Linked DNA regions of Drosophila melanogaster. The protein of the gene in region 2 interacts with the protein of the main gene of each other region in a pairwise test. Each region holds a gene or a part of one and is shown on either strand. Other genes may lie near its edges. The genes, in order: Ubc84D and CG3999.

Region 1 (3,029 bases), 2.7 Mb from region 2:
TACATGGATTTTATTAAAACCGTGTTTACAGATAGAATTTTGTAATATATTTCGTACGTCAACACTAGCCCAGAATCGTATTCTAGGCTTTTCAAAGGCTTGTTTTACAATTCCTTTAGTTTTTGTGTTCTATTGGTATATATCTATTGGTACTCGCTATAATCGGCAGCAGACTTTTATTATCGTGTATATATGAAAGTATGTTATTATCCTTCGCAGACGCTACTGGTACGCTTCGTCACTACGTGGACTACCTGACGTCCAAAGTGATGAATGTGGTCAATATTTGATAGCTTATGCGTATATGTGTAACTGTATTAGGTAAATATGATTGCTATAATTACCAATACGATATTGCCAAATGCGGTTGCCTGTTGTTACTGTTAATGATACATTAATGTAATTTGATTAAATTCGTTACTCGTAGACAAAGGGGTATATCAAGTAATAGGTATCAATTATATGTGTACATATATAGGATCAATATCCGAGTGAACTCGGGAACTATAATGGCTAGAAATGGGAAATCAAGCATGCAGATTCTACAGGCGCTGAAGCACAAGTTTTCTTTAGTAGATTGCTAGACACCGGCCACAATCACCGCCAAGTAGCCAAGAGTTGGCTACGATTGTAGCAATAAACCAACAACATGTATTCCACGCTTACCAACGGCCACAATTTTTTTACCTCAATTTTGAAAAATATTTTGAATTTCTTTTTAACTGTACTTTTTTTCTTGCCCATTTTTTTTATCGAATTACCGTCCATTTAATGCGCCATACATATATCTTAGCGAACATTCAAAATATGGACAACTTATGTCTGACAAGTTTTAATTGATGGTCCAAACTATATATAATTTTGATATACAAATAAATGTGAGCTGCGGCTGACTTCACTCTGGTCGCTTCTCCGCATTCTTCTTGGTGAACTCTTCGGCCGTCTTCATGAACTTCTTGTGCTCCCTTACGAACTCCTCGGCCAGGTCAGAACGAAGCGGATGTTCTGGCTCCGGGTTGTGGACGATGGCTACCAGGGCCTGGAGCACCTGCTCTGTGCGCGTTGTGGGCTTCCAGTTGTCTGTGCTGATGATGGGCAGGCACACCTCCCCCTTCTCATCCACGTTGGGGTGATAGATTTTCGTCTTGAATAGGATCTTTGGTGGCATAAAGGGATACTGGGGCGGGAAGTTGATTTCGATGCGGAAGGCGCCCTTGTTGTAGGGCGCCTTTTCCGGAACCAAAAGACCCGTCCACATCAGCAGGGACTCATCGCTACTCTCGATGTTGCGCAGAGTGCTCATCTTGGCCTCAACCAGATCGGAGAGTTCCCGTGTCAGACGACGAGTGGCAGCCATTCTATCAACGGGATCAGAGTTCCTTTCCTTTGTTTTCCCTAGATCTCGGAAAAAAACTTGTTAATTTAAAAAAGTCTAAAAATTTAATTTTCCTATTGCTATTGACAGTAAAGTCAAAAGGGCATGTCGAACATTGTTTTTATATTCAAACTTATTAAGAAGTTATCAAGCATTTAAATAAATGGCGTAAACTGAGGTAAATATAGAGATAAATAGAAATATATATTTTTAAATCTCACCTAAACTAGGATTTCTCATCCACATGCAATCATTGGGCAAACTAGTTATAAAGCAAAACAATCCAATTGCAGAATATATTTTATAAAGCATTTTGACCTATTTACAGTTTCTAGAGACTTCTTTGTTAGGCTGTACAGAACAGTAAGTTAAATTTAAAACAATAAATCTTTGTTGTCGTCATAGAGGCTCTCCCAGACCTTCAATTTGGGCCACTCAGGCAGATCGATGAACTTCAGGTCATCACTGATGTTGAGGCACTTGATGACCTCGTCGGATTTGCGAACTGGATCAATGGTCAGAGTGTCCATACCGTTGATCTTCTCGCTGTAGGGATTACCCGTGGCAGCAAACTGGGTCCAGATGCCCACGGTTCGTTCGATGTTCCTGTACTCGCGACTTTCCTTCGGCAACCGGCGAGCCAGCAGGCTGCTGAATTGGTAGCTCAAATCGTCGGCATGGCTGACCCCCTTGACACCGCGTCCCAACCGCATAATGCGGTACGGAAAAATGAGCTCCTCGGAGTCGAAGTCATATCGATAGAAATATACTGGAGCTCCAGCCGCGTACGCGTGTCGGGAATGGACCACCCTCAGGGCCGGAAACACGAAGTAGTAAATCGAACAGAGCTGAAATAAATTACCAGCTTATGATTATGTAAGCACCTAATTGGACGACACTTACATCCATGTAATTATCTGGGGTGCTTTCTGAGCCAGTGCGATGAACATCTCGAATCTGTGCACTCCACGAATCCAGTTTTTCTTTACTGGGCTCCGTGGCCAGCAATTCTTTGGGAATGAAAGGTGTGCCAGCATCAAGCTGCTGCAGCACCTGCGGCATAAGCTTTACCTCTGTGAAATAAAATTAAATTTACTTATTGAAAGAAAATTCAAAAAAATTCCCAATATCTAACCTGGAACCCACAGCAGGCCCTCGTACGAAGTGTTTCCTATAAACATGGGGATGGAGTTACTCCAGGCGGTCTTCATCATCTCCTTTGGAGGCTTGGATATCACACATTCGGGCGTGGAGAATGGTTCCAGGGATGGGCCAAAGGCAAACATTATCTTGTTCATGCGTTCCTCCAGTGTCAGGACATTTTCCTCCACGCGAATAAGATCCTTGGCCTTTACGTTCTGCAAGAACTCCAGCACATCCTTGTCGTTGTCCTCGCCCTTGTAGCCAACCAGCTTGGCTATCCTGTAGGGATTATGGGTAATGTCGCCGTTGTAGGCCCAAGGACAAATGGCACTGCCCGACTGCAAGATGCCGCGATGAAAGAGCCCTTGGGTCTGATCGGTTAGCATCATGTAGTGAGTGGAGGCGCCTCCAGCACTCTCTCCAAAAACAGTGATGCAGTTGGGATCTCCGCCGAAACTAGCGCAATTGTTCTTGATCCACTTGAGGGCCAGCACCTGATCCTTGAGGCCAG
Region 2 (6,432 bases):
CTAACCGTTAACACTACCTTTAAGTAAGTTATAAGCTTTAATTTTCTCACAAATGTCCCTAACTATAATCCAATGGAATCTAAAAGGATATCTAAACAACTACAGCCATCTCCTTATTCTAATCAAAAAATACTCCCCCCACATAATTTCCCTCCAAGAAACCCATATACAATACACTAATAACATTCCAACCCCAATAAACTACAAACTATTAACAAATATTGCCACCAACAGATTTGGGGGCGTAGCACTACTAGTGCATAAGTCAATACAACACACTGTCCTCAACATAACAATCGATATAGAAGCAATAGCCATAAATATAGAATCTAAACTTAAATTAAACATATTTTCCACATACATTTCTCCGACCAAAAACATAACTAACCAGACACTCCATAACACATTTAACATACAACAAACACCCTCTCTAATTACGGGAGATTTTAATGGATGGCACCCATCCTGGGGCTCCCCAACAACAAAAAGTATGTAAAAGACTCAAAAATTGAATCTAAAGCTAAGAAAACAAAGTACACGTAAGTCAAATGTTTAAAGTTACTAATATCTAAAAAGCTCGTTAGAAACACAATGCATTTAGCACGCAATTACTTCATTACTTTGAGGTATTTTATAAGTTAATTTTAATTAGTTTTAAATAAATGTGAAGCTTTATTGATTGCTAAATGTACCATATATGATTTTTTTAGATAATTAATTTATCAACGAAAAATAAAGAACCTTCTTATATAAAAGATACGTTCAAGGGGTTTATTTAAAAAGTAGTGTAATATAAATTGATTGTTTGGTCTTAGAACTGAAGTGCCTTATAAATCAGGCAGTATTGGCGGACAGGTACACACAAGGTGCTTGTCACCATAGGCATCATCGATCCTGCCCACAGTGGGCCAGATCTTGGCATCTGGTTTTACAAAGATCTGTAATAAAAATTGAAATACAGTTAAATAGAATAATTATTCAATAATGCAATGGACTTACGGCGGGGAAGGCAGCCTGCTCCCGTGTATATGGTCGATCCCACTTATCCGAGATCACCTGAGCTTGGGTGTGAGGAGACATCTTCAGTGGATTGACTGCCTTGTCCATGCGACCCGCCTCGATCTCGGCAATCTCCTCTCGAATGGAAATCATGGCATCACAGAACCTATCCAACTCCTCCTTATCCTCCGATTCAGTGGGCTCGATCATCAGGGTTCCAGCGACGGGCCAAGACATAGTTGGTGCATGGAAGCCGTAATCCATGAGTCGCTTGGCCACATCCACTGCCTCGATATTGGCCGATTTCTTCAGGTCGCGTATATCCAAAATGAACTCATGCGCAACCAGCTGAGAGTTGGGTGCCTTGTAGAGAGTCTTGTAATGCTGCTCCAGCCTCTTGGACATGTAGTTTGCATTGAGAATGGCCACCTGGGTAGCTCTCTTCAAACCCCTGCTGCCCATGAGTTTAATGTACGACCAGGATATGGGCAAAATGGCAGAGCTTCCGAAGGGAGCGGCGGATACGACTCCAAAACTGTGCTCCTCGCTGCTCAACGGACTGACAACAGGATGACCAGGAAGGTATGGTGCCAAATGGGCTTTCACGCCGATGGGACCCATTCCAGGACCACCACCACCATGCGGAATGCAGAAGGTCTTGTGCAGGTTGAGATGCGAAACATCGCTGCCATAATCTCCAGGTCGACACAGCCCAACCTGGGCATTCATGTTGGCTCCATCCAGGTACACCTGTCCGCCATGCTTGTGGATCAGGGTGCAAATATCGGCAACCGTTTCCTCGAACACGCCCATTGTCGATGGATAGGTAATCATTAGGCAGGACAACTCGTGGGCGTGCTCCTCTGCCTTAGCTCTTAGGTGTGCCATGTCGATGGAACCATTCGACAAAATTCTAATAGGCTCCACCTTCATACCCGCCATTTGTGCAGAAGCTGGATTTGTGCCGTGGGCAGAAATTGGAATCAGACAAATATTTCTGTGTCCTTCATTTCGGTGTTCATGGTAGCTCCTGATGGCTCTCAGTCCGGCATATTCTCCTTGGGCCCCCGAGTTCGGCTGGAAGGAGATACGATCGTATCCTGTAATCTCGCATAGGTCATGCTCCAGTTCCTTGAACATCTGATGGAATCCCTGGGCTTGTTCCACCGGCGCAAAAGGATGGATATCGGTGAAGTGGCGGAAGGAACAAGGCATCATCTCGGTGGTGGAGTTCAGCTTCATAGTGCAGGATCCCAGGGGGATCATGGAGTGCACCAGGGAGATGTCCTTATTCTCCAGCTTTTTCATGTAGCGCACCATGCGGGACTCGCTGTGGCGAAGGAAGCGCATTAAAGTTGAATGATTTCTAGAGTTTATTAATCATTTACCTGTGATAGCTCTGGAAAATAGGGTGCTGCAGATAGGGCGAAGTGCGCAGGAACTTGGAGTTCTCAATCGAGTTCTTAAGGACATCTTTACGCGCCAGAATGTGTTCCACAGATGCCTCTGCCTTGAAGACCCACAACAGATCGTCCACATCGGCTACACTGACCGTTTCATCAAGGGCCACGCCAACAGTGTCATCTTCAAGATATCGGAGATTAATGCGCTTGTGCTCGGCACGCTCTTTGAGATCCTCAAGGGATTGACCTCCACCCAGTCTAATGTGAAGTGTGTCGAAGAAGTTCTTGTTGATCACTTCGTGACCCGCTCCCAGGACACCCGTTTGAAGGGTCAACGTGAAATGGTGGATGCGATTGGCCATGGCTTTCAGACCCTCCGGACCGTGGTAGATGGCGTACATGGCCGACATGTTGGCCAGAAGAGCCTGTGCCGTGCAAATGTTACTTGTTGCCTTATCCCGCCGGATATGCTGCTCCCTGGTTTGCAGGGCCAGACGATAGGCATCGTTTCCGTCCATATCCCTGGTCACGCCAATCATCCTTCCCGGCATTAGCCGCACCAAGCTCTGCTTGCAGGCAAAAAATCCGGCATGGGGGCCACCGTATCCCAGAGGAACTCCCAATCGCTGGGAGGTTCCCACTGCAATATCAGCTCCAAATTCCGCCGGAGGACGCAGAAGGGTTAACGACAACAAATCGGTCGCCACCACCACGAGGGTCTTAATAAAAACAGAAGAGAACGCTATAGTCAAGTTCAAGTTCAAGTTTTCTGATTTTTTTGTTGTATATTCTTATGTATAAATAAATATTTCAACTTACCCCATTTTTCTTTGCCAAAGCTGCGATATCCTCGAAGTCCTTGACATCACCATAAGTATCTGGATACTGGAGAAGAATGCCAGCCAATTCGCGGCTTGGCAGATCCGCCTGTTCAATAGGTCCCACCACGATTTCCAGCTCCAAGGCTTCCGTTCGCGTCTTGACTACGGACAGCGTCTGGGGATGCACCCTGTTCGACAGGTAGAGCTTTTTGCGCTTGTTGTGCCTGGTGGCCAGGCACATGGCCTCGGCAGCAGCGGTTCCCTCGTCCAATAGCGAGGCATTGGCCACATCCAAGCCGGTGAGATCGGTTACCAGGGTCTGATAGTTCAGCAGCGACTCCAAGCGTCCCTGGGCGATTTCCGGCTGGTACGGGGTGTACTGAGTGGTCCAACCCGGATTCTCGAACATATTCCGGATAATGGTGTGCGGCACATGGCAGTTGTGGTAACCCATTCCGATGTAGGAGCGCCACAGTTGATTCTTTAGCGAGATGTCGCGAATTCGGCGGATTAGCTCGTGCTCATCTGCAGAATGGAAAATTGTTGTCAGCCAGACGCAGACGAAAAATCGAAGATCAAGCGGCAGTCAAAACACTGATAACTGGGAGAGACCTCGCTGAACCGGGCTTATCACCCCGGTTATCAGCGGCTGCGAACACGCCAGGGGGTCCATTGCCTTACTGCCTTGTTTTTCAGCTATTTTAGGATTCAAACGTAGCGCTACTTACTCAGAGGTTTGTCCAGGTCGAGTTCCCTCTTCAGTTGAATGCTCTGGGGCACAGCTTTCTCTGTGAGCTCCGCCAGGGACTAAAATGATAATGGTGGTAAAAATTAAACTTGGCTTGATCCAAATCTGGAAATTTCGGATTCCAAAATGGTTTGTTCAACCGCTCTGCTATGAAATATGATCTAAACTAAGCTTTTTGGTGACCTTCCTACCTTGAAGCCCAAAGTATCCAACATGGCCACCACATCCGTCTTTCGAGGCCCAATATGACGACTGGGAAAATCCGATTTGGTGGGAAATATGACCTCCTCCACAGGAGTGGTGGCCAGATAGCGATGACCACATCTTAGCAAAAGGCTTTGGCTGCTCCTTCCCAAAAATCGCTGCATGGTAAGGTTTAATCCAATAAACTAAGGCACGTCCACTCCACGCGGTTTTCAATAGATGACTGATCTCTGGCTGGAAAGATTTTTCCATTTCAGATGATAAGGCGAGTGTGACGATCATCTCGGCTTATCAGTTGTTCTCTCCGATTGATAGAAATGTTTAACCCTCCCAAATACAAAGTCAAGTGCGATTTTAAATATTTTCTTTTTATTTCAAAACTTAAAACTCTTCAACAATTTGTAATAAAAATATTCTTACTACTTTTTTTTTTGTATTACCAATTAATTAGATTGTGTTTGATTTTAAACAATAACATAAATGGCGTACAAACGTGTCTTAATAACAGGAAAAGCATCACAACAAAATTGGGTAACAAAATTGAAGAGAACATTAATTAATATTTAATTTATGGTTATATAAACTGAAGCCGTTATCGTCATTTTGTCTACGTAACAATTGCATTTGGTAGTATCCTGGTATCTTGCCGTTTTCGAATCGAAATACTTGTCATAAAATTTTCCTAATCGTTTTGATTAACTTTCGGCTCCTCAGCCGAGATTGATAATTTTTTCTATAACCATTTGCATTCGGGCTTGCTTTCTCTTGCTTATTCATAGTCGTTATTGTGTCTTTTGCATAATTGAAATTCAACAACTGCAATTGGTATTTAATTAAATACAATATATATCGTTCAATTGGTATAGGTACATCATATATGGCTGCGTGTGTATTTAACAATGTTGTTAAACTAATTTTACGGCTTGTGTCAGTCAGTTATGAATAATCATTATGTTTAGCATCCTCGACTAACTCGGCCCAAAAATGCACTTAAAGTTTTACACCGTTTCAAAGTGTGTGTGTGTGTTTGTATATTGTTTTCTTGGGTTTTTGTTGGCTAGTGTAAACCATGTTAATTGATTAGTTCATTTTAAGGAAAAGTTTAAGGTTAATTGAGTGTTCTAAAGTTAAAGTTGTTCAAGGAATTAGAGGCTAAACTTTTGTTAACGCTGAAAAAAAGTTGGATATTAACATCTTGCCTTGCCCTCCTCGTCGCATTCGGTTACGGTTTCGATAGCTATATTCTTTGTATATACGTAGATATATATTGTATAAAAATCTTTGCTAAGTTATGATTAGTTGAGTTGCTGGTGCTGTCAATGTAGATGAGGTAAGTTGCAAGAAGCCAAAATGGTTTGGTGCAAGAGTTGCTTGAAGAATAAATATCCGATTTGCAAGGTTTGTATATATTTGTAGATATATATGTGTTTAGGTATTTATTTGCCTAAAACTGTTAATTATATTTACTATATTTATATTGCTTAGCGAAAGTTAGGCTGACTGAGATAAAAACCTAACTAAAATCAGCAAACATGGTATAAGAACAGTTGGGAAAGTGGCAACCTGTTAACTTTAAGATAATTGTTGATTATTTAATATTTTCAGAACCACAAAAATGAAAAAATTCGAATAGGAGTAGAATAATTAAATTGTTTTAGACAGATTTTTCTCTCAGTGCTTTGAGCTTGATTTCTTTTCAATGTTTTGAATCTTCAATGGGAGCTTTGTAATGTGTATGGACAACCTTTGGTTAATGTTTGATGTGCATCCTTCTATTGTTTGTTCTGTTCCTTGTCGAAGTTGGAAGTGAAAGTTCTGTTAAACTGAAACGGTAGCAATGGAGAGGCACTTGAACCACCCAGGGAACTGCTGGCTAGTGGTTCCCTCAGTGTGAACGACATCATGGGATTGTAGACCCCCGTGGAATGGGTAAGGGAACTAGTGCTAACTGCACTGGTAGTGGAAGTGATAATGGGATCGTTTAAGCGAGATGTGAAAGAGCTGGTGAAATTGTAGGGTACATATGAAGAGGTGGTTACGGAGGTGGTACTGGTGGATGTAGGGCCGCTGGTGGTGGAACGAAGATCCGAGCAACTGGCGCGCGGCGAAATTGACGAGATGCCCGAACCCGAGCCCGAACCCGGATTCAAATAGGAAAAGTTGCTGGCCGAGGGCAGCGAAAAGGAGGGGCCTGCATAGCTGCTGGACATGAATGAGGAGGTGGAGGTGCTGGTAGCGGTGGTGCTGGATGTGCCTG

What was found.
Region 1: the proteins of CG3999 (region 2) and Ubc84D interact in a two-hybrid assay, tested with the Drosophila melanogaster proteins (one large-scale study listed by BioGRID).

What each region holds. Positions count from the first base shown.
Region 1 is NT_033777.3:7,518,002-7,521,030, forward strand, and holds Ubc84D (ubiquitin conjugating enzyme 84D), read right to left. Parts: upstream 1,456-3,029; 5' UTR 1,358-1,455; coding exon 896-1,357; 3' UTR 819-895; downstream 1-818. Other genes in the region: alpha-Est7 (alpha-Esterase-7), read right to left, coding at 1,750-2,223, 2,279-2,448, 2,511-3,029. UniProt on the Drosophila melanogaster protein: Catalyzes the covalent attachment of ubiquitin to other proteins.
Region 2 is NT_033777.3:10,249,487-10,255,918, reverse strand, and holds CG3999 (uncharacterized protein), read right to left. Parts: upstream 4,402-6,432; 5' UTR 4,340-4,401; coding exon 4,163-4,339; intron 4,031-4,162; coding exon 3,952-4,030; intron 3,749-3,951; coding exon 3,222-3,748; intron 3,122-3,221; coding exon 2,388-3,121; intron 2,330-2,387; coding exon 1,000-2,329; intron 939-999; coding exon 828-938; 3' UTR 651-827; downstream 1-650. Other genes in the region: CG42795 (uncharacterized protein), read right to left, coding at 5,948-6,432.